Linked DNA regions of Saccharomyces cerevisiae S288C. The protein of the gene in region 1 interacts with the protein of each later gene in a biochemical or structural test. Each region holds a gene or a part of one and is shown in the gene's direction. Other genes may lie near its edges. The genes, in order: CNA1, ZRG17, ATC1 and ALY2.

Evidence for each region.
Region 2: the proteins of CNA1 (region 1) and ZRG17 form a complex in vitro, tested with the Saccharomyces cerevisiae proteins (one study listed by BioGRID).
Region 3: of the proteins of CNA1 (region 1) and ATC1, one has a biochemical effect on the other in vitro, tested with the Saccharomyces cerevisiae proteins (one study listed by BioGRID).
Region 4: of the proteins of CNA1 (region 1) and ALY2, one has a biochemical effect on the other in vitro, tested with the Saccharomyces cerevisiae proteins (one study listed by BioGRID).

Annotation. Positions count from the first base shown.
Region 1 is NC_001144.5:1,003,847-1,007,837, reverse strand, and holds CNA1 (calcineurin catalytic subunit A), read left to right. Parts: upstream 1-1,829; coding exon 1,830-3,491; downstream 3,492-3,991. Other genes in the region: ECM30 (Ecm30p), read left to right, coding at 1-417; TSR2 (Tsr2p), read right to left, coding at 843-1,460; IMP dehydrogenase IMD3, read right to left, coding at 3,710-3,991. UniProt on the Saccharomyces cerevisiae protein: Calcium-dependent, calmodulin-stimulated protein phosphatase. This subunit may have a role in the calmodulin activation of calcineurin.
Region 2 is NC_001146.8:696,697-701,285, reverse strand, and holds ZRG17 (Zn(2+) transporter ZRG17), read left to right. Parts: upstream 1-1,854; coding exon 1,855-3,672; downstream 3,673-4,589. Other genes in the region: COQ2 (4-hydroxybenzoate octaprenyltransferase), read left to right, coding at 1-745; MRX15 (Mrx15p), read right to left, coding at 826-1,596; putative ATP-dependent RNA helicase DBP6, read right to left, coding at 3,802-4,589.
Region 3 is NC_001136.10:827,665-834,859, reverse strand, and holds ATC1 (Atc1p), read left to right. Parts: upstream 1-3,346; coding exon 3,347-4,231; downstream 4,232-7,195. Other genes in the region: SND1 (Snd1p), read left to right, coding at 1-2,001; UPS3 (Ups3p), read left to right, coding at 2,387-2,926; PLP1 (Plp1p), read right to left, coding at 4,583-5,275; YDR182W-A (uncharacterized protein), read right to left, coding at 5,506-5,709; putative lipid phosphatase CDC1, read right to left, coding at 5,803-7,195. UniProt on the Saccharomyces cerevisiae protein: Involved in cation homeostasis and in the regulation of the cation stress signaling cascades. Also involved in bipolar budding.
Region 4 is NC_001142.9:274,362-284,097, reverse strand, and holds ALY2 (Aly2p), read left to right. Parts: upstream 1-6,095; coding exon 6,096-9,236; downstream 9,237-9,736. Other genes in the region: ARP4 (Arp4p), read left to right, coding at 1-296; IML2 (Iml2p), read right to left, coding at 718-2,913; TAX4 (Tax4p), read right to left, coding at 3,443-5,257; GTP-Rho binding exocyst subunit EXO70, read right to left, coding at 9,400-9,736. UniProt on the Saccharomyces cerevisiae protein: May regulate endocytosis by recruiting RSP5 ubiquitin ligase activity to specific plasma membrane proteins in response to extracellular stimuli.

The DNA of each region.
Region 1 (3,991 bases):
AACAATAATTCCACTAATGGTAATAGCAACAACAGTAGTAACGGCGGATTTTCATTTTTCAAATGGAAATGGGGTGGAAATAACAGCAATGGTGGCAGTGATGACACCAAGGCTAGTCAAAGAGATCCAAATGTCAGCACGTCAATCATTACAGATAATTTGAATAGTTATATGTTTGAAGAAGAAATTAGTCCCGGCGTTGTAAACAACATAATTGAAAATAACATTTGGGTTGGAACCGACATCCGACTATTTAAGATCGCAAACTTCAGAAAAGAATCTTTTTCATTTCTGGAAATGACATCTTCTTTTTTCAAGAAATTTAAATTCATTAATAGCGATAATGACAATTATAATAATAACGAATTTGATGATAATACACAGTTAAGATATACCTCTAGAGGGTTGTATAGATAGACACAAATTTTGACAATCACAAAGAAGAAAAAAGAAACTATTTACATATTTAAACATCTACCTCATGATTATTTATGTACGAAAATTTATAATTTAGTATAATTTAGTATTTTTTGCTTCTTATACTTAGCTTTAACTTAGCTGAACGATTAGACCTTAGCAAACACAAAATATAAAAATATGAAACATAAAAAATACACATGTTGAAGAAAAGTAAAAATCTTCACGTAGCGATGCATTGCCCACCTTTTAAATCTATATTGAAGATCTCCTCTAGAAGTCCAATGTTTAATACGTAACTTTCTTGATATATATTACATATTTTGGATAACTCCACCGAGATTTATCTAATTTTGTTGCTATTTCTTACTGGAAGTGCAAAAAAGCAGCGCACTATCAATTATAATATACAGATTTTGAAGATACTAGTGCTTTCTTCTTCCTTTTGGTTGAACCAATTCAAAACCGTCTTCGTCAACAATTGGTTCAGGTTTAGACGATACTAAGTCAGGTACAACCTCGTCCATCTCTTCATCTTCATCTTCGTCATCATAGTCCTCTACATCTTCATCGTCTTCATCATCATCACCCTCAATATGCACAACTCTTTTTGATTTTTTAGTTCTCTGCTTTTCTTGCCATTCCAAATACAATTTTTCTACCTTATTATAATTTAAATTGAAACAGTCGTTATATATGTTGATGACCTCCACGGCAATCGGTAAAGCCGAGTCGTCTTCAACATTAGTTTCAAATTCATCTATCATTGCATAAAGTAACGTTTCTTCGATTAAAGCGGCGTCAACAACTTTTTCATTTTTGAAAAGGTCTACTACAATCCCTGTAATCCAGTCTCTCTTCTCAGCTGAGTCTGGACCACCCCAACTGTTTTCTACGGCAACATCCAACGCATCCCACTTATAAATAACCATGGAAACACCGAGCTCAAAACGTGCCTGTTGCTTTTCGTCAGAGAACATTAGATTGGTTTTACCTTGCTCAGCCTGAACAAATGCTGTCTCATCAATATATTGTGTGCTCATTGTTCCGTAAGGATTATCACTATAAAAATTTTTCGCAGATTTCTTTGGACTCCACCTTTCTTCCTGTTGCAATAAATACAAACTGTTTGAATCATTTTGATATTCATCTATATCTATTTCAAAATTTTTCATGTCATCGCCTCTTGAAACATGAATTTTCCAATTCTGAAAAAGAACGTACTACTGGGAAACAAAAGGGAAAAATGTATAAATCCTTTAATGTTTTTGAATCAAGAGGCATTATTATAAAAGAACGAAGCAAAGCCTTTAATATTTGCTTTATTAAAGGTATTATTCAAAGAAAAGTTTTTTTAGATTCTTTTTTTTTTGACGTATTAGCTCAGCTGCCATAAAACACTCTCAACGCCAATGTCGAAAGACTTGAATTCTTCACGCATCAAAATCATTAAACCTAATGACTCTTACATAAAGGTTGACCGGAAAAAAGATTTAACAAAATACGAATTAGAAAACGGTAAAGTAATTTCTACTAAGGACCGACCTATCGCTTCTGTACCTGCCATAACAGGAAAGATACCAAGTGATGAGGAAGTATTCGACTCCAAGACGGGATTACCTAATCATTCCTTTTTAAGAGAGCATTTCTTTCATGAGGGTCGACTTTCTAAGGAACAGGCCATAAAAATCTTAAATATGTCAACTGTAGCATTGAGTAAAGAACCCAATCTACTAAAACTCAAAGCGCCAATTACTATATGTGGTGATATTCACGGGCAGTATTATGATTTATTGAAACTGTTTGAAGTTGGCGGTGACCCCGCCGAAATCGACTATTTATTCTTGGGGGATTATGTTGATAGAGGTGCATTCTCTTTTGAGTGTCTGATTTATTTGTACTCCTTGAAGTTGAATAATTTAGGGAGATTTTGGATGCTAAGAGGTAACCATGAGTGTAAGCACTTGACCTCTTATTTTACTTTTAAGAATGAGATGTTGCACAAATACGATATGGAAGTTTACGATGCTTGCTGCAGATCATTCAATGTCTTACCATTAGCAGCTTTAATGAACGGACAATATTTTTGTGTGCATGGTGGTATCTCTCCAGAGTTAAAATCAGTAGAGGATGTTAATAAAATTAATAGATTTCGAGAAATCCCATCTCGTGGTCTCATGTGTGACCTACTATGGGCCGATCCTGTCGAAAATTATGATGATGCAAGAGATGGTAGCGAATTTGATCAGAGCGAGGATGAATTCGTACCTAACAGTTTGAGGGGTTGCTCTTTCGCCTTCACTTTTAAAGCATCATGCAAGTTTTTGAAGGCAAATGGTTTGTTATCTATTATTAGAGCACACGAAGCACAGGATGCTGGGTACAGAATGTATAAAAACAATAAAGTAACAGGCTTCCCGAGCTTAATAACCATGTTCAGTGCGCCAAACTACCTGGACACATATCATAATAAAGCTGCTGTGTTAAAATATGAAGAAAACGTCATGAACATCAGGCAGTTTCACATGTCTCCGCACCCTTACTGGTTGCCTGATTTTATGGATGTTTTCACCTGGTCACTACCTTTTGTTGGCGAAAAAGTTACTAGCATGTTAGTGTCTATATTAAACATATGTAGTGAGCAGGAACTTGACCCAGAATCGGAACCCAAAGCTGCGGAGGAGACTGTAAAGGCAAGAGCAAACGCAACTAAGGAGACCGGCACCCCATCTGATGAAAAGGCGTCATCAGCGATATTAGAAGATGAAACCCGAAGAAAGGCTTTGAGAAATAAGATATTAGCTATTGCTAAAGTTTCAAGAATGTTTTCGGTGCTAAGAGAAGAGAGCGAAAAAGTGGAATATTTGAAAACTATGAATGCCGGTGTCTTACCTCGTGGTGCTCTAGCTCGTGGGACTGAAGGTTTGAATGAAACGCTAAGCACTTTTGAAAAGGCTAGAAAGGAAGACCTTATTAATGAAAAATTACCACCATCTTTATCGGAGGTTGAACAAGAGAAGATTAAATACTACGAAAAAATATTAAAGGGAGCGGAGAAAAAGCCACAACTGTGATAAATCTCATTTTATTCTTTTTTATTCCTATGAGATGCAACATCGAATTCTTGTGCTACTGTCACGATCCGCAAGAGATAATATGAACTAACAAAATACGAAGAAAATATAGATCATTTCCAGTCTATTTCTTGATTTCCATACTTAACTGCGAGCAGAATAAATATAAACACATATTTTTTAGTTTTATTTTATTATTAATGAACCCTAGTTACCAATTAGTTATGTAAACGCTTTTCGTAAGAATGTAAGTTATGAACACCACCTTCTAGTTGAGCAGAAGCGGTTCTAAATTCAAATCTAACTTTACCGCTTTGGACATTTTCCTTTAATAAAGTTAGGGACTTGTAACCAATGTCTTGACAAGAATGTTGTAAACCGTTGTACAAATATGGAATAAATTTCTTGATAGAACCTTTGTCAACGACAGCACCGGAGACACCTTGTGCGACCAAAACACTGTCTGATTCGGAAAAGTAACGGGAGGTAGATGCATTACC
Region 2 (4,589 bases), on another chromosome or scaffold:
TATTTTCGGTGTAGGTGCATTGGTAATGAGAGGTGCTGGCTGCACCATCAACGATTTTTTGGATAGAAAGTTGGATCAAAGAGTTATCAGGTCCGTCGAGAGGCCTATCGCCTCTGGTAGAGTGAGCCCCCGTCGGGCGTTAGTATTCTTGGGGGCTCAAACTCTTGTTGGAATGGGCGTTCTATCTTTGCTTCCTGCGCAGTGTTGGTGGCTAGGCCTTGCATCGTTACCTATTGTGTTCACATACCCTTTGTTTAAGCGGTTTACGTACTATCCTCAAGCTGCATTAAGTGCATGTTTCAATTGGGGAGCGTTACTTGGGTTTCCTGCCATGGGTGTAATGAGCTGGCCTACAATGATACCTTTGTACCTGAGCAGTTACTTGTGGTGTATGACTTACGATACTATATACGCACACCAGGATAAAAAGTTTGACATCAAGGCTGGAATCAAGTCTACCGCTTTGGCTTGGGGTCCACGCACAAAGTCTATCATGAAGGCCATGTCCGCGTCTCAAATCGCACTGTTAGCTGTCGCCGGCTTGAACAGTGGGTTGTTATGGGGGCCTGGGTTCATTGGTGGACTAGGAGTCTTCGCTTATAGACTCTTCAGCATGATAAAGAAAGTGGATCTTGACAATCCTAAAAACTGCTGGAAGTATTTTAATGCAAATATCAACACCGGACTTTACTTTACGTACGCCTTGGCAGTCGACTACATCTTGAGACTGTTTGGATTCTTGTAGATATAGCGTGCATATACAAGTGTTTAATTGTTCTTTTATTCGATTATTATTTACATGCATTCTTACGTAGATGTCCGTACCTATTTGGGCTTCACGATATTCTTGATGGATGATCTAGAATTCCCCGAGTGAAATAGGGTCTTGGCAGACGTATGTGAAAGGATCTGAGTTAATATTGACCTGTTCAATAGCTTATTTTCTGCCACACTGTTGAAAAAGCAGTCCAAGATCCTGGCGTCATTCTTCACAACGCTACCAGATCTCGAGAAAATGTAAAATTTATTGAAAAATGAGGGTGCTTTTTCATCCACTGTGAAGAAAACAAAGGTGGCCTTATCCTCCATACCTTGAGAACCTACTCCTGTGAAGATCTTGGTGGCCTTATTTTTAGACAGTTCATTGATCTCCCTCGTGATAGAAACTGGTCTTCCTAACAAGTAAGTGCGTCGAGTCAATTGACACCGTGGCACCGTACTATTCTTGAGCGGTGGCAGATATTTCATTTCTGTGACTAGTCTTGACGTTACGTGTTTCGTGGCAGCAGCGAGGATCACAGGCAAAACCCCTAAAGCCACAGGCCCAAAAGTTTTGCACTTGAACCACGGGCTGTGTTTTTCTTCCTCAGTAGCGTTTCCGTACACTTCTCGAGCAGTTCTCCACGACATATCAGTGTATGCAGCGCCATATGTGAGAAACACTACAGCTAGAGCAGTTGAAGCCCATCGTATCGACCGTGGTACCTTATACTGGAACACAGGCTTTTTTCCTCCGTTACGTCCGACTTCTTCGATTAGCTGCGCTAGTGTGAAGCTGCTTCCTTTGAACTGATTCTTGGCAGCCATGTTTGTCATACCCTAGTCCACATAAGATAACTAAATGCACCTTCTTATGTTATAATGTAGCTAAAATGAGAGATGATGATCTTTATTGTTCTCGAATTTCAGCGCGGGTAACGCAACCTCAAAAAGTTTTCCACAAGTGTCCTATTGCGTAATATCAAGAATATTCATTACTGAAAATGATGAACCTTGAAGGTATTTTTGTTACTAAGAGAGAAAAAGTGAATATTTAGTGACTTGTGAGCGAGATTATAGAATAGGGAAAGAGCTATGGAGACGCCGCAAATGAACGCTATACAAGAGGAGGACAATTTGTCTCCGGAAGTTGCTTTCCAGACTCCTAAATTGAATGATTCCGATGCTTCATCGTTTTCTTTGTCCAATATGAACGCTGTCGGGAATGTAGACGGTATACCATCCCAAAACAGGACATTTTTTGCATCACCTAGGCCCAGTTCCCTATTTTATTCTGCCAAGGAAGGTAACAATTCCAGTTCTAGTATCATCTACAATCCTTCGTTCACTTTTGGTGAAAACGCTTCTAGTAATGCTAATATCAATGAAGCTGCTTTGATGAAGGGAAAAGGCAACGAAGGACGAAGGCAATCACTCAAATATATACCAGCACCAAAGCTGGTGCCGCCTCCTCCCAGAACAAGATCACCGGTAAGAGGCATTTCCCCCGATGCTGGCAGCAGTAAGAGGTCTTCTATGACCTTGGATTCTCCCTTTAATTTTACGACATCAACGCTGCAACCGCATCAACAGACACCACCCTCTTCAGCTGCATCAAGGACCTCATTTCGTAAGGGGCATCGTTATAAGCATTCCTCTGTATCCATGAATTTTTTTCAAGAGCCTGAGGTGAAAATTCCTTTGAACATTGCCAAATCTCTTCCCATTCCAGATTTCAATGATTTGCTGTCAAATTTGCCATGGCCAAAGGCTTATATTCAGTTATCTATTGCCGCTCTACAAATCTTTGCATGTCTGATTACTTTCCAAGTCGGACACCTGTACTCATGGAGTAATTTTATTACACTATCGCATTTTATTACTTACGATATCATCGGTTCGCTGGTAATCATATTTGTGGAAAATTTGTCTCAGTTCCAGGTATGGTTTACAGGCACTATCACATTTCCATTCGGGTTAAATAGAATAGACGTTCTACTAAGTTTTGCGCTTGCCGTTTCGTTATGCTTTGTTGGGCTGGACCTTTTATTCCATATAATTGAAGAATTCATAGTCCTCTTTGTAGAATCTGGTAGTTCTTTGACGAATAACCATGATCACGATGAAATTAATGAGCAAATTCCTCATTCCCACATTGCCAATGCCAATGATTCACAAAACGAGAATATTACCTTATGGTATAGCATACTAATGATCAATTTAGTGTTATCGACGTTATCACTTTATAAGACGTTTTATGCTAACAAATACAGTAATTTAAAGACGAAGAACCCGATTATTACCATCACTTATACAGCATACCTATTCATTTATCCCCTACTATTGGATCTGTTATCGAGTATATCCGATTACCTTGCTACTTTGGTTATTTCGAGTTTAATTCTATGGCATGGGCTGACTATAGCACGGTGGACCTCGACAGTGTTACTAATGGGATTTTCCACCACATCTTTATCCAATTCAGCGTTATTCAATAATAATGACAGCACTGATACGACCGCCCATACTCAACAAGTCGAGTCTAAAGCTGCTAAAGAAAAACCATCTGTACGACCAAGATCAATGAGCTCACTACCTATAGCAACAAAGAATACAAAGATACGGAAAACTGGGTTTTTGAATTCTGCAGGTTTCACTGAAAATCCAACAACCATTAAGAACATGATCAAGGACCAAATCGAGAGATTAAGTGAGTTTAAATCCAGATACATCCTAAATTACGATGATATAGTAATAAGCAAAGTGAATTTTACGCTTTATGTGGTACTGATCAAGATAACAATGAAAGGAGGCTCCGACGATGACGAATTGATGTTAAGGTTAGCCATTGACAAGTGCATTCAAACGAGCATTCCAACGTGTGAAACTACAATAGACATAGACCGAATATAATTTTACAGTTACATACCCATCAATACATACATATTAATATTACTATACTCAGGAGTTATTAGAATGAGACTAAAAAAAAAAATGTTTGAATGTTATAAATGAATGGATGCGAAGGTGGAAAGTGAGAAATTAAGCTTGTGCGGTGTTATTGTGATAGTTTTTCAAACTTTCTAGAGACGAAGTATATAGTTCAGAATCAGATTCCAATAGGGTAAAATCGAGTTCTAATGGCTGGACAGATTTACCGTCTCTATCTAGATCTTTGTTTAAGTCATCGAAAAACGTTCTTTCACCTCTACCTACTAGTAAGTTATAAGCGGAACCAAGTTCGTTAGCTCTTGCTGTTCTACCAACACGATGGACATATTGTTGAGAAGACATTGGTGGGTCATAGTTTATTACTTGAGTGATATCGTTAATATCAATACCACGGGACATGATATCGGTAGTAATTAAGATGGTAATGCCTGCGCTTTCCGAGTGATGCGAGAAGTTCGCAACAATTTTTTTATTTTCTGCTTTGGAGTTGTTTGAATTGACAGAATTAATACTCACCGCCAAATTTTGAAGGTTTTTCAATACGCTGGATTGTGAGCGAGATTCACAGATAAGTTGTAGTAACTTGCTTAATCTGATAGACGATTCATTTGATTTAACGAAAATCAAAATCTTTGCAGCAATGGGGGAATGTGCCATAAATTGGCATATTGAATACAACAATATCAATGGCTTGTAAACACTTTTCGCCGTGGGAATGTTGATGTTAAATTCATTCAATTTGTTAGGTAGCTGGTACAATTTATCGGTTTGCTTCAGGAACAACTTTGGTTTGTAAAGGTTCAAGCCGTTTAACTTTTCTGTGTTGGTAGTCAATGTCGCACTGAAGATCATTTTGATCACGTTCCCTGGAAGTGTAT
Region 3 (7,195 bases), on another chromosome or scaffold:
AAGACAATCCAGAACTCCAAGTCACTCCCGTTCAAAGAGTACTACACCAAGTTGAACGAGAAATTCACCGGCTCAAACCAGAGCAATGGTAGCATGCAAGACCAGACTGTCTTGGATTCCATAGTTATTGTCACGAATAGCACGGGGGTAAAAGCACTGCTGACTTTGTTGTCAGACCACCCTCTCACCAGCCTTATCTCCCAGGAATCAATAAAAGCGCTACATGAATATTCAGATGCTGTTAACGAAGATAAGGGCGACGACCAGAGCAACACAAGTTTGAAAAGAAACTCTTCGTCGTTGTTGAATTTTCAAAACTCGGTTTTAACCTCCAATAAAGACAAGTCCGTCAGAATTAGGTCGTTGTCTATCAACAGAAAATCCAACAGGGCACATATGTTCAAAACGAACGAATCCATCACAACTATCCCATCAACGTCAATCAACAATCTTATTGGTCAGGAATCCAACCTACGCAAGCAGCCTTCGGGAACTGCACTGCATTTACAATCGCATCTGCATCCACATTCCCGTTCACAATCCTATTCTAGTTCTAATATGTCCAGATCGCCTTCTCCCTTCCCCTACGGAAAGACACCATCAAACGACGAACTAGTATATGACGAGTTAAACAACCAAATCAACGAAGTGCAAGACCGTGCTAAGAATGAGGAAATTGTCCTGTACAACAATAATAATTATGACGATTATACAAAAGAACGAGGGGAACAAGAGCAGGATAGAACCTCATACGCAGATGAATATGGCTTTAATTACGATGATGAAGAAGGTGGAAATGAAGACAACTATGATGATGATGAAGACGATGATGACGATGATGACGATGACGATGAGAGTGACGATGAAGGTTTGAGCTTTTACGCTCCAAGCATTTTGTCCCGCTCTGGTTCGAGCACAGACGTGTTATCCTCCGGAATAGATTCTATGGCAAAAAATTCGAAGGAAACAAGGGGTAGGTTTAGGTCCTTGAGTTTAATGGACCCTGCTCTGCAAAAGCCGTTCAACCAGAAATTTCCAAACAGCCAACAACCCGATTCTGCAGGGGCTTCATCACCTAAAAGATCGACCTCTTCAAACCATTTTACTAACGTCTACGTGCACGATGGTGATTTTGACGGGACAGACACTATCAACAACAAAAAGAATCTATCGTCTGCAACGCTTATTAAAAGGAAATCTTTGATGAACAGAAACTTGGCTCCTTCTATTAGTAATGGATTGATACCTCCGGAATTTATTTCCCGAATATCTACGCCCTCTACAAGCGCAAGTAGTTCAAACTCCTCGTTGAATGACATGTCTACAGTATCAAACGCATTTTCCAAATTATTAAATGACACAAGTAAGAAGCAAAAATTCTTGAATTCACCAATTCCACAACATACACAACAGGCATCTCCATTACTAATGAGAAATAATTCAAACAGTAACTTGCTATTTGAGAAGAATTTGATCAACAAGTCATTTGAAGAACTGAGAAGACAACCATCAGTTAACCTTTTTAGCACCTTGATGAATGGTAACATGGAAAAGAATGGTTTGGCACTAAACTTCAAGTCCAGAACGCCTACAGATGCGTTGATGGCGAATAGCATTAAAAATAGTAACAATTCCAGTCATAGGTTACTAAATCTCGAGGAAGAAGACCAAATCATGTCTGGATCTCTCCCCAAAGAACGCGAGGACGATAACGATTCGACTAATAGCACAATAGTACCGAATCACCCAGACAATGATAACTATAATGATAATGATAACGACAATAATACTGGTATAAATTCCAATAATTTCAATCTAAATCTCTATGATGACAATGATAGTGCAGGCTTTACAGATGTAACAACTGAAGGAGTGAAATACTCAAACTCGAATTCTACAGTCACCAAACCCGTTTATAAAAAAGCCGTCACCCTGGATTTATACGGCGAAGATGATATGGATAACATGGGAGGATGGGTATTAGGAGGTAATGCCCGGTAAAATAATCACCTGAAAAAAACTAGGTTAAGCACAAGGCAAGGGAAAAAGCCAAATTACACATATACTTGATTATAAATAGATTAGTAAAACATATATTCTAAATTAAAACAGCACTTTAACCGATATTGTATTTTTTTTTTTGGGTTTACGTGATACTGCGTAAATCTTCAATTTTCAGGGCTTTGTCCGCAAGGGGCCCGTTTATTTATCAAAAAAAGTAATGAGATTTTCGAAGAAAGTTCATAAACCTATAGATCTTGTTACATTTGGCAAGAAAACAATAAGTGGGATCTGCGGTCCAAGCAACGCATTTTCTTTTCTCTAATCGACAAGTTCAAGTAAATATTTCTATTAGTCATATATCTCTCGAGCTTATATATTAATAATGAAATCATTTCAAAAATCTTATGAATTCGATTACCCATGGGAGAAAGTCACCACGGCGAACTGGATGAAATATCCAAACAAGATCTCCACACACGTTATTGCAGTCGATGTGCTCCGCCGAGAGCTCAAAGAACATGGCGATGTACTTCTTACAGAACGGCTGATAACCATACGTCAGAACACCCCTCACTGGATGTCCATTTTAGTGGGGAACACTAATTTAGCATACGTGCGAGAGGTCTCCACCGTTGATCGAAGGGACAGATCTTTAACTATGAGGAGTTGCAATATGACCTTCCCGCATATTTTGAAGTGTTACGAAACCGTACGTTATGTTCCTCATCCGAAAAATCCATCGAATGTGACTCTTTTCAAGCAGGATGCAAAGTTTCTGTCTGGTGTTCCGACCAAAACCTTTAGTGAGAAAGTAGAAAACTGGGGCGTTAAACGTTTTAGTGATAACGCGGTGAAGGGGAAAGTCGGGTTTGATAGTATTCTAGCAATGTTCAACGATATCTGGAAAAATGCTAACGAATAAAAAAAAATACATCTTTTCTCAAGCATTTTTTCTCAAGCATTTTTTCTCAAAAAAATAAGGATTTATAGCCTCTTTGCATATAACTACACTCAGAAACTCAAAAATAAGTGAATAGATTAATTTGCCAAAATAGTTTCTATAGCGTGTCTTTCTCTTTTTGCAAACTCGTGTCATCTTGATATAAATCAAATATTTTCTGTCATTTTTTTTTCTCTTTTTTTTCAGTTTCTAGAATTTTTTTTTTCCACTTTAGCGATGAGATGAAAAATTTCCAAAAAACATGCGGTACGGTATTTTCAATGAAAAATTTCAGAGGGCTAGTGCCCTATTGAAGAGCTCAATACTTGATTGAAGTTTTGACATCTTAAATTTTGTTGGTTCAAGTTACACTAAGGTTGTGATAGGGAAAACGTGAAGATAATGAACACGAATCAGTCCAATCCGAATACAGATTTAACAGATGATGCCAATATAGAACATACGTTGCATCGGCTGCTCACTCAGGCAAATAATCATTTTGATGATACAGTAAAGATTGATGGGCAGAGTTTAGATTTGGGAAAGGATCTCGAACAAGTTATGATGGATAATTTAGACTGCACTGATATTTTTGATTCCGACATCGCTTCTCAGAAACACCTAACATTGGAATCTTTATTTAACGATGAACACAACACCGATTCGAGCACACTTTTGGAAATGCAGAGAAGTGCTAATGATAGCCTAGTTGGTATTGATCTCGATAGGCATAAAAAGGGTTATACTGGCAAGGCATCATTAGATAAAAGTACAAACCAAAATAACGTACATAAACCTGATAAAGAACAAAAGAACTATAAGATAGATAAACCCACCATCAAGAAGAAAAAATCCCTTTTGAAAACCACAAATGAACCCATGTTATCCCCTGCATCCCTATCACCTTCATCTTCGTTAGCTTCATCCGACGCTAATGAATCCCACCTAAAAATAGAATCCATGATTACTGATATAACATCTAAAATAGATTCTGCAAGACAAGACATTGTATCTGCAACGAAGCCTGCTAAGTTCACAAATGAGTTTACAATAAGTCAAATTTCGGAAATGAAGGCAAGAATAATTAATACTCATAAATTGCTGCTCAATTTCAATTTTATTAAAGAAGGTTACGCGAGATCTTGTATTCAATTGAAAAAATCTATGGACTCTTTAAAGGATAGTGAAATTCACAGAGCACATTTATTGGTTGAGAATGATGACTTGAAGCAACAAATCCTAGAACTTACTCAAAAACTCAATGAAAAATCATCCAAGGAAAGTTAAATTTAGAGTTAGTTCTGCTAAGTTTATCTGCATTTATTGGTTTTTTTGTCTTTACTACAAAGATGGTCCAATTTTATATACAATATACACTACCTTTCTCAGTCATCGTTATTCGTACTCAACTTTTATTATTTTAAGGAACACAGTCGCATTTTTGAGTTTCATGTATAAACATTACTATACGCATATTTCGTATTTAACTTTCTATAAATCCCCCAAAACGTTTTATTAAATTTTCAACGGTACGCTCGAATAACCGATTTAGTTTGAACAGGAGGAACCATTTTCGCTCATGCGTATGGCTTAAAAGACCATCGAGTCATTTTTAGTAGGGAGGTAATGGTTATTTAGTTATATATCTAAATCACTATCACTTTCACTTCTATCATGATTTGTAGAAGCGAAGCGTTCCGTATTCACAGATGAATGCTTTCTTATTTCGAATGTGTCTTCTATAACACCTGAATGGGCTAAAGATTGCTCTAGCCTCCTAATATCAAACCCATTAGGGTCATTTCCCAGTTTACTAAATCCTACGTAGCGAACTTTTTCTAGGCCATTCTTGTATCCAACTACAAACGGAAGTACTTTAATATTCAGTTTATTAACCAAAAATGGACATGTTTGGACGTTTACTTTAATAAATCTCGTGGTTAGATACCTCTTTGCCAAGTTTTCCAGTTTTTCATTCATATACTGGCACTTACCGAATGTTTCTAATTCAAAATGTATGACCACCATAGTAGTCTTTGTACATATTTGGATAGCATCTGCCTCGTTATCAATGCACTGCAATCTACCGTATCCGTCATCCTCAACATTCTTCTTGACCTGTTTTAAATGATCTGATATTTGTTGTAGCCTCTCCGACCGATAAGCACTCAAAAATTCATGATCCTCGTCTAATTCTCTATCCAATTCATTAAGTAGTTCATCTAAATTTTCCTCGCCACTACTTTTGTCATCGCTATCGACAGTTGTGTGTTTATCCTTTTCAGCATTTGAAAGCACATTTGTGTAGTATCTGTCTAATTTATCTTCCATATTAATTTAATCTTCATATACGTATGAGTTGTTAAGAGAATGGAGTATTTTCGTTAATCTTTTGTACTTCATCCTACTTTCGTGTTTTTTAAACTCTAAAAATTACACTACTATGATCACTATATTGCTATGGAATAATAAAAAGCAAAAACGAAAGATTGAAAGGAAAGTCGTCCTTTTGTATCCATCTTTTAAACAAAGCTTACAAAGAAATTTGCCGTCATGACTTGCTAAATTTGATATAAAACTAAAGGAACCAACAACTTACCTAGGTGTTCTTTTTTGTCCCCGTATAGTGAAGTAATTGGTGTTACGCCCAGTCCTGCAGTTTTAGCTTGGACCACAAAACATAATGCAAATCCAGTAGAGGTTATGCAAACTGTTTGGTGAGCATAGTAATACCACACCCGGTATAATTTATATCTCTTGTTCATTGTCTGTATATAAGGTGTATTCGCATATATTAAATAGCCAGACGTTTCCCTTCAAAGCATTTTGATCCTGGAAGAGAATAGCAGTAATTCTGTCTAGACTACAGTATAAAAATAAATAAAAATGGGCATCACAGAAACAAAAAGGACAATTGCATTAACTAGAAATTGTTTGATCGAACGCGTATCATTCACAGCGTATTTACTATGTGTCAATGATTTTTTGGATTTCGATTTGGAAATACTTGTAGGTAATGGCAAATCTGAGGTGTTACCATCAGGTCGTGTAAATACTCTGTTCATTATGGTTGCTACGCGATTATTAAAAGATTTTGGGAAAAAATGCATGTATGCGATAAAGGCAGCAGAGAATAATAATCCCCATAGGTACATTCTGATTGCCTTATAGGGATCTGGCATATAGCATAGCTCTGTTTGGTAAGTTTTTGATGCATACTCTCCGCCGGCATTTACCATTGTCAAATCTGAAGGATTATATAAGGAGAGCAATTGAATAGCAGGCCTACTGATCCCCATGTTCATTGCACATGACTTTACTGTAATTTCTTGAGCATTTTTAGTTTTCCCCTGAAACGGATATGAGTGTGATATCTGACAATGGTCATGATCATCCCCGGAAAATAATATTTCTGGTTGAATTTTCGTTAAAATTTCTTGTGATATATCGTTTTCTATAACTGTCTGGTACTGGTGCCCTTTCTGAATAGGAAAAGGTTCTTTGGATTCACGTAGCTGACCGCACGTTTGCTGTTCTGGATCCCTCCATAATGGAACGTGAGTTAAAAGAATTCTAGGAAGCGGATGTGAACCCATTGCAAAATTATCCAAAAACTGTCTAGGAACCCTCGAGACATTCGGATTTGTTTTATCAGAAAGCGAAATTGTATCTAAAAGTACAAAGGTATGATTTCCAGCGTCTAATGAGGAGGAAGTTTCTCCAAAGTAACTAGAAAATCTCTGTAAACTCGATTCAACAACTGTGTCTCCAAAACCAATATCGTGATTACCTGGTAAAGACATGACCGTTCTTCTCAGTGGCTTCTTGGGGAATATTTGGTTGAATCGTGTGTACTCTTTAATCCATTGCTTATCATCCCAGTTTCTCCCTCCATCAAATAGATCACCTAGGAAAAAATTGCTATCAGGATCCAAGTAATACTGGACATATTTCCAATTTCTCCTGTGATAATGGTCAACAATCACTCTTGTAAAATAATTAACTATTTGAGGCCTCCCAGGATATGAATATTCGTCCATTATTTGTGGGTCTGCAAATAAACCCACCCTATGACTTTCAGCGCCTTCAGGCCAATCCTCCCAAGTCGACCATTGGCACTTCTTCATTGCTCTCTTCACAACCACTGATTCATAATAAGATATTAATCCTAACCATAAGATCCATACAATAGATATGTATCTCCAGTAGATTCTTAACCTCTTCTTGCTCCTGCTTTTTGATTTCTTTTTC
Region 4 (9,736 bases), on another chromosome or scaffold:
CTATAATGAGCAGTGATGTGGATCTAAGAGCGACACTAGCTCATAATGTTGTCCTTACAGGCGGTACATCCTCTATTCCTGGATTAAGTGATAGGTTAATGACAGAACTAAACAAAATACTACCATCCCTTAAATTTAGAATATTAACAACAGGGCACACTATCGAAAGGCAATACCAGTCATGGCTTGGCGGTAGTATACTTACAAGTCTGGGAACATTTCACCAACTGTGGGTTGGGAAAAAGGAATACGAAGAGGTGGGCGTCGAAAGATTGCTTAACGATAGGTTTAGATAGGAATAGAAAACGTTGTTGAATGACAAGTCGCCTTTCAGTTTAGCAGTTTGAGCGACCATTCATCTACTCGATCAATATCTCAGTGATAAATAAATTGTCTTGATTCTACTATAACCCTTTTGTAAAATAAAAAAAATTTCTACGATGGACCGGTTTTGTTTCCTAGGGAGTAATGAACTTGGCCTATAACTAAGAAGGAGGTTCAAAAATTTAAATATGTTCATTTTTAAAATCATAACACTATATATATCGACACCGTAGAACTAACTACTCGGGAAACCCATTGCGTAAAAATATAAAAAAACTATGAAACGTCACGAAAAAATGATGGTTGTAATAACTGCTAGCAAGGGAAGGTAAGTAGTCGAAAGAAAAAAAAAAATGCATACTTCTAAAATGTTGGGGCGGAAGAAGCAAAAGGTTAAGCAAGCGCGTTTTCAACTCTATCAAGGGCGGCTTTGATCTTCATACCGATACGCGTACTCAATTCGTAATCGGCGGCATAATTTTGGGCTCTTAGCAGCCATTCCCTACATTCATTCAAACTTTCCATGCCACCCAGTTTCCAACAGAATAAAGCTCTCTCATAAAGAGCGGCTGGATATGCCCATGGGTCTTCGGTTTTTTTGAAATATTTGACTTTGCCATTTTGAATGTAGAATATTTTTGGCAGAACAATGTCATCTAACAAGGCTAAACCTCTTTCAGCATCCCCCAATCTTCTTAAGGTCAAGGATAGTAGTAAGTTTCTGATCAGCTCTTGATCTGGGTCTTCCGAATCAATGGCGGGGTTGTGATACTCTGTCAACATCTTTTTGGTCAAAATTAAATCGTTTTCAGTCATCCTGTTGTAACCGTTGTAGAAATAAGCCAGTTCATGGACAGGTGATGTTGCTATTGAGTCTAGTGGTTCTTGTAGGTTTAATTTCTTCTGCATATTATTAAATTGTTGAACTTTTCTAAGCATGAATCTATCCAATGGAAGATTTTTGGATTTGAACGTTTTCTTACCTAACAAAGATGGAGCGTCAAATATGAGTTCTCGAGCCCGCTCTTTATAGAATTGTTCTTTACCGTCATTTAATAAGCCTAATTGTGTCATCCTCCAATTTTCCAAGTAACAGCAACCCGCAAAATAAGTGTACAATGCGTGAGACCAATCACTAATATCAAGCAAACTTATTAAATCATCGGCAGCTCTGTTGTATTCGTGTAAGTTGACTAAAAGGATCGCACGTTCAAACACCATCAACGATTTCACTTGTCTCATACGGATACTATTGACATCAATAGAGTCCATTAGGGCCAGAGAATCACGAAGCCTGCCCTTTCCAGCAAGCATTTTGGCCTCATTTAGCAGCCACAGGGCACTATTAGGAAAAAGTGCTCTTGCTTTTAGTAATGCGTCCTCCAGAATTTTTCCAGGATGCAATAAGGTTGCACTGTCCATATAACCTGGTAAAAGGCTACTATCGTTTGTTCTGCTTTTGTTTAAAGCCCTCGATCCATTATCGTTTGGTGGTATATCAAAGTCAGCATCTGTAAATTGGAAAGGACCGTCGTAATAAAACATCAGACCTAACAAACCTATACACCCGTGAACATTTCTCTCCTTTGTAGCCTTCCAAACTAGCCTCAAACCTTCTTCACGGGATCCCTTGAATCCAACAATAGATAGCACAGCACCGATTGCAGGTGGAAGTAAGGATAAGACGACTTGCAAGATACCATAGCATAAATTAGCACCTGAATGGATGAATTCGTCGATGGTAGCCTGTTCTAAATCGAAATCATCTGAAACAGAATGGCGGTCGGAAGCTTGAGACGGAGTCGTCTGTAAACCCAAATCATCCCTTAACCTATGAAAAGATGGAGTATTGCCAATATGGGCACCTGATAACCTTCCCATTCTCATCGTGTAGATTTTTTCAGCAAATTCCAATAGGAGTGGATTGGACTTGTCCTCGGAAGACAATTTGTATGGTATATCAACCGATATGAAAGTTGTCTCTGCAGAAACAAAACTTCCGCATGACTCTTGGCTCTTTTCGCTTGGAGAGGGAGAGCTCGAATTTTTCGATCGTTCAGCTTTTTTGACAGTAACCATGATATCTTGTAACATTGTATAAGCCCTCCTTAACTTTAGCAAAGCCTTGGCTGCTTCCATCATGCTTTCACTAAATAACATCAACAAGGCATGCAACAGACATGACTCAGTATATGTTACAGCATAGACAGTACCGGGAGGATATATTGAACTGCTCCTAAAATTGGTCTTTTCAGCATTTTGCTTACTTTTCCAGGACATTTGCTCAGCTTTGCCTAAAGTAATTGCAGCTCTTTTCATTTCTTCAGTTTCAAAACTCAAAGTGGCTTGAAGAAATTCAATAACACCTCTTGCCAAAGTCAAGATAGTTTGATCTGAACCAGTTTCCATTTCAGCTTTTTTCAGCAAATTCAACCCTTCATCCGTTCTATCATCAAGGACAAAATCCATTGCCTTTAAGGCGATCTCAAAGTCATTAGCCTGCTTCAGAACCTGTTTTGTCTTTGTTGATTGCTCTTCACCAGAAGATTGATTACCCTTTGATCCAAATGAACCAAATACTCTAAACATCTTCTACTATCTTTCGTTTTGGCGCACTGTTTGCCCTTCCTCCTATTATGTTCTATTTCTTTCTATCAGGTAATTCCTATACCGGTAACAAGACGCTTATATATACAATTCGCTATATATACTGATAGAAATATGCAAAAGGAAGAATGAGTGAAAAGAGCATTGGAAAATAAATTTAGTAATACAAAGGTGGGGAGAATATGAATTAAATAATCCGAGGGACGAAATTAGAAAATAGCCCAAGATAGGGGGTGGGGGTACCGCTGGAAAGACAAAGACTATAAGCATGAAATGAAAAACGACCATTATGCTCGAGAGATCTGGAGACAAATAAAGCAAAAGGTCCGACGAACAAAATCCGCGGAACGGAAAAACTTCTAAAAGTGAAGGAAAATTGAGAAAAAAAAAAAAAAAGATAATATTTTCATTTCTTTCATTCGTCCTTTCGTTGTATACATAAGGGTCATTGTTAACTCATCGTCATTCATTATTAACACAGGAAGAGAACTTCTGCAAATAATGCCAGGCATCATATTCTGACATTTCTGAGATCGCGTTTGATGTTTTTCAATTCCTGTCGGACTGAAAGCTTTGATGGCTTATCTAGAGGGTTATTAGCGTTGTGATAGTGATCGGAAGTGGCAGGCTTCACGTTAATTGTACCGAGAACATAGCCGTCAACGCTATTCCAAACTCTCTGGTCCAGCTCATTCGTTAGCTTTCGGCCATAGAGACATTGATCAACCAGCCACATGCCCACTATAAACGATTTTCTGTCTAAGGTACCGTCTTTTCTTGTGTCGACCATATTGTATATTTGCACTAGAAGATCCCTGGGTAGGTTTGATCGATACCATATATCTTTTACGACTAAGTTAAGCATCAGGCCGTCTTGCGGTAAATTTAAGGGCTGTAAGTGAGACTCGTCGTCTTCATTCGCGAGAGAGGGCCACCACGGCAGCAAGCGCAAATACGAGTATCTGTTTGATACCCACATAGACTCGTATCTTTTTCTTTCTTGTTCGGTAATAAACCCGAGATCTCTATGAGATTTCCACGGTTTATCTTCATTGAATTTGTGAGAACTTGTATGATGGTGCGTGTGTAAGTGATGAGAATTCGGGTTATGGAGCTGATGGTGATGATGATGGTGATGAGGGAACGGAAGGACAGAGGTACTACTCCCAACTACAGCTGCTGTTGTTTTCAACCCCTTCTTTATCTTAGAGCGACGACTTTTCTTCTTCTTGTCCTTGATTTCCATCACATTAGAATCTTCATCTGTGTCTGAGTCTGATGATACAGACTTTCTGTCGTAGGGAAAAGTTTCATCATTGTCTGTAATTGCGTACTTCCCGCGCCTCATAGTTGTCTTTAACTTTACATTTTGCTGCGTGTTTATGATTGCCCTACCATTCTGCGTTTGGTCCGAATACACACGTGATAAGTTTTCTTGCTGCTGCTCAGGTGATCGTAAAAGCCTGTGCTTGAACCTGGGTTTACTTGTCTTCCTTTGGCTTCGCGGTATTAGGTCGGGTAAAGTGCCTTTATATATTATATTTCCTCCATTGAGTTTATTCATTGCCGTATAGTCTGACTCTTGCTGCCGCTGTGAGGGGTCCGTTAGAGAAGCCTTTGCTGAGGCTTTGGACGCAAGACTATAAGAAGACATGGAAGGTTCAGGAGGAAATGCCTCATCGGTGCTTTTTTCTCTATAAGAAGTTTCTTCTCCATCGGAACTTATGGAACACGATGATGACAGCGAGGTAGAGTAGGATACTTGTGGCGAAATAGATCGTGAACGAACATTATTATCATATGACGGCGGAGGTATCCTCATTCTGTTCAATTGCAGCTCATTTTTCAAGGCTGAAGGAGCACGTGGCGGTTTTGTTTCAGTATCCATAACTGGATCCCGGCTGCCGACACCGGATGATCTGTTACTAAATGAATTTGTGTGGGCTAGGTATGCAGCTGTCTCTGCAGCTGCTATACTACTTGGCGAATTTGACGCTTTATTCCTTACATCATAATGGATTGTCTGCAGAGGAGTCGTCGGTACGGAAAAGGCTTCAGAATGGCCTGGAAGCGTTTCCCTAGAGTATTGATGATTTATACTTCTCGGTTCCGGTTGTCTCATCCTCGGCAAAGAAGGCTCAGATTTCACGACAGGCGCAGATTCCACCTTTAGATGTCTCGGCCTCTCTGCGCTACCGGCATTGCCATTGGGGTGGGCATATCTCTTGAAAGTAATCTGAGCAGCAGTTAAAGAATCTTGGAGAGCTTCCTTCGGCAATTCCACCACGGAGAGATTTCCGGAATGCTTTTTTTTGGGGAAATGCATTTATACAAACGTCAGGGCGTGTATTCTCCGGCACTAAATCGACTCTTCCTTGTATAGGCCATCCCGCACTCTTCATCAATTACTAAAAAGGAACCAAATACGTCACTTTATAACCAATTTATTGATGTCGAACGGAGAGCAACTCCCTTGCGCCATCTATCGCGCGCCGTCCCAAAAAGAAAAAAAGCAAAAAAAACATAATTTGAAGAAGGTTCTCTCAGCGGCTAACCTTTCTTCATTCTCAATTATAACAATAATGATACAAATACTGGCCCTGATCAATAGTTTGTCATGACAGCCGTTAAGACCAAACCATATTGCTGTAGTTCATCTCATCCCACTGTTTCATTCATCACCCAAAAATTCATCGCTCCTTTCCCCAATACATATAACACCTTTTTCCTTTTTTAAATTAGTGACGCCTCTGTGAGAGGGTTCAGTACCCATTCCTCCATGGCAACAACTCTCATTTCTCAACGCCTTCACCTATCACTCTTCACTGTCATTTCTTTTTGCTTTGTTATTCTGCTAAATGTCTTTCATTGGTTTTCCTTTATTAAAACATTCTCTGGAGGATTTGCAGTTTCGGAAAAAAGAAATTTAATCCGATATGGTCCAATTTGGGAAAAAAAAAAGACTTGGCTAGTTCTCCTTTTCGTCTTTTAAGAATAGGTACTAATTACGCTACAAGCAGTCTGTGAGTATTGAGAGAGACTAAAAAGGGCAAATTAGTCTGTAGACTTCGCTATTCATTACCGTTAGTCCTTTATTTTTTTAACGTTGAAACATCTTTTTTTTTTTTCCAGCCTTTCTCATTGTAGATCAGTCATTTTTCAAGATGCCCATGGACCAATCTATCTCATCTCCATTGTTTCCCATGGAAAAGGATATTGATATCCCCCTCGATGCTACACCCTTGGCACAAAGTTCATCATTACAGCTTTTTATTCATTTAGCTGAACCAGTTGTTTTCCTCCAAGGCTTTGACCCTCAGAAGACGGAATATCCCTCGGTTGTTCTTCGGGGCTGTCTAGTGGTAAGAATACTGAAACCCACAAAGCTGAAAAGCATAAGTCTTTCGTTCAAAGGATATTCTAGAACTGAATGGCCTGAAGGTATCCCTCCTAAAAGACAAGAATTCGTGGAAATCAAAGATATTGTAGACCATACATGGGCTCTATATCCGCCAACTGAACAGAAGAGCAAGAAAAAGATGGATGCTTCCGCACCTAATGAGAGCAACAATGCAGCTAATAATTTTTTGACGAAGGAAAGTGGTGCCTCTCTTTATAGAACACTGTCTGATAATGAAACTATAACAAGCAGAAAAAATTCTATATCAGGTTTGTCCTCGTTGAACTTGTCACCTCTAGGTGCACCTGGAAATTCCTCTGTCAACGTAAAAGACAGAGAAAGTAGACAAAGATCTAGATCTTCGTCAGTCACTTCTTCCAATGGACCATCAAGAAACCTATCCCCGATAAATTTATTGAAGAGAGCCACGTCTCCTTCCGTGTCTCACCACAACTATAAACCTACGACCACTTCCATCTTTTCCGACTTGTTGAATAACACCTTTACCCATAATGATGCAGCATCGCATCATGGTCATCATATCCCCACCAGTAGCAATCATCTGGCAATGACAAGCAACAACTTCACCAGCGGGTCTGGAGGAGAATTTTTTGTCTTTCAACCAGGCGACTATATTTATGCTTTCGAAGAACTAATTCCTCAAGCATACCCAGAATCTATTAAAGCTGATTTCGGATTTGTGGAATACTTCTTATTTGCCAGTATAGAGAGACCTGGTGCCTTTAAATCAAACATTAGCGCCCGGCAAGTGGTTAATATCGTACGGACACAGGCTCATAATTCTGTGGAAGAAAGTGAGCCGATTATCATATCTAGAGATTGGGAAAACCAATTATATTATGATATCGTTATAGCATCAAAGGATATTATTTTAGATGCTTTTCTGCCTATCACGTTCAAATTCGCTCCCCTCGATAAAGTTACGTTGCATAGAATAAGAATTTATGTGACAGAGACAATGGAGTATTATTGTAGAGAAAAGAAGGTTCATAGGATGGAGCCCACCAAGAAATTTTTATTGACAGAACAGAAAGGTCCTAAATTACCGAACTTGCCCAATGATGCAAATTTGTCAAAGGCCAAGAATATGGGGAACCTGTTGCAGGATCCAAAGAATGGTGATTTAGTGAATAAAGAGTATGAGTACCAGATTTTTATTCCGAGTCGTTTCAACAACCATCAGCAATTGCATCCAGATACTTCTTATGAAAACATCAAAGCAAACCATTGGATTAAAATTTGCCTGAGACTGTCTAGAGTAGTAGATAATAAAAGGAAACATTACGAAATTAGTATTGACTCGCCAATACATGTTTTACATAGATTGTGCTCGCATGCAAATACCCTTTTACCGAGCTATGATGGACATCCTGCTTCTTTTCCAAAAGAAACAGATTCCTCAATTTCCTCAATATTGGAATCGTCTGATGACAATATAAATCTATACCATAACTCTAATATTTTCTTTCCCAAGGAAGTCCTTTCGTCTCCAGTACTTTCGCCCAATGTCCAACCATTAGACATTTTAATCCCACATTTACCTTCCACTTCATTGACCAGAAACTCTAGGCAATTCAATAGGAACTCAAAATCCCATCCGAGTGATAATACCATCTTCAATTCTGCAAAGTTGAAATCCAACATATATCAACCGGAGAGTTTGCAAAGAGAATTAGCATCACCCCAGGCAATCCCGCTCTCTCCAATAACATCGCCAATGTCAAATATGGAAGTGCCTCCGCCAGATTTTGACTTTTCTTCCGATTTCATATCTGATGCTGCTTCCGGAACCACTACTACTGAGGTATCTTCATCAGAGTCGAGCATCTTACCACGGGATCCACCATCTTATAAGGATACTGTGTTGCATGACAACAATCAAAAAAGGAGGCCTAATTCCAAACATCCGACGCCTCCAAGTTTAAAAGCTTCCCATCCAAATAAAAATTCGGATAAGAATTCTTCAGAAACTTTGAATAAAAAAGAATCGATGTCAAAGATAGAAGAAAATAAACACAAAAGAGAGACAACTCCTAAAAAGAGAGAAAATAGGGACGTGAAAAGTTTATCAACCCCACAACGCGAGGAAAGCAAAGACTCGACATCCACTGGGAATCAAAGTAACGAAAAGAACAGAAAAAGAGTATTAAGCCTATCGTCTTCATTACATAGCTCACCAAATAATAGCGGATTTGCGCATTCAGCTTTAGGAAATCTGAGCAATGAATCATTAAGATCATTGAATAGAAGGGAAAGTGTTCAAGATAATTTACCGTCCACAATAAGACACGATAATCCTTTTTTCACAGATTTAAATCAAGTTTTAATAGAAGACGAACTTAAAAATCATGATAAAAATGAACTAAATCGACATTCTACAAATACTTCGAGCACCCCCGCCTCAGCTAGATCCTCTTTTGACTATTCAGGAATTAATATAAGCAAGGACAAGTTGAACATGGAACCATTACTGAGTAAAACGGAAACGTTGACTAATAAAGTTAATGAAGACTCCTTTTTAAGGCCTAATGATTCATACGTTGATCTACTTGAACCCTCAGTAGATACTACGATTGATATCACTGCGCCGTACGCTAGAAATTCCTCTGCTTGGCATCCTTTACAAAACGATAACGATAACAATCAGTTTTCTCCACTTTTGGGAAGTAACGAGAATTTCTTGAATGCAGCTAATGCACAAAATTCTGCCGAATCAGATCATAATAATGACATTTTCACACAGGGCTCAGGATTAACGGAAAGCTCTAAGAATTCTGATTCCGAGGAAAGATTTATTTCAAGACTTTCTTCACCCGAGAAAGTACTGATTAATACGTTAGATAATGAATCTGGATTACAAAGTATAAATGAGAGTACCCTTTAGTCTAGCACAAGGTTCCTACGTCATCCCTTCCTGTTCTTACATCTGGCGTCCAGAGCAAACATAAAATATTAGAAACTCTAATTGTTATACATATATATGTTTATATCTGTTTATGGTACGTTCTTTTCTTTAATTTTGCTTTTTGAAAAGTGATGTTCGCAATCTATCTCACTAATTGGTTAAGAACAGTAGTTAGTTCGTCAGGGGTATATTTGATATGCTTTCTAGGATTCTTGAAAGAGTCTTTATATCTACTGTAGAATCTTTCATACATGGGCATAACCAACGATATTATTTCTGACTTCAAAGTTACTTTCAATGATGGATCTGAAAGCTTATACTGTTTTGTTTTTGATACTAAATCTTCGAATCCTTCATTGAATTTTCTAAATTTCTCCTTTATTTGTTCTTTGTCTTTTGACTTCTTCCCGCTACTATCAATAAACACAGAATCCATCAAATTTGCAGTTAAATCTCTCCAATCTGATACCATATAACTA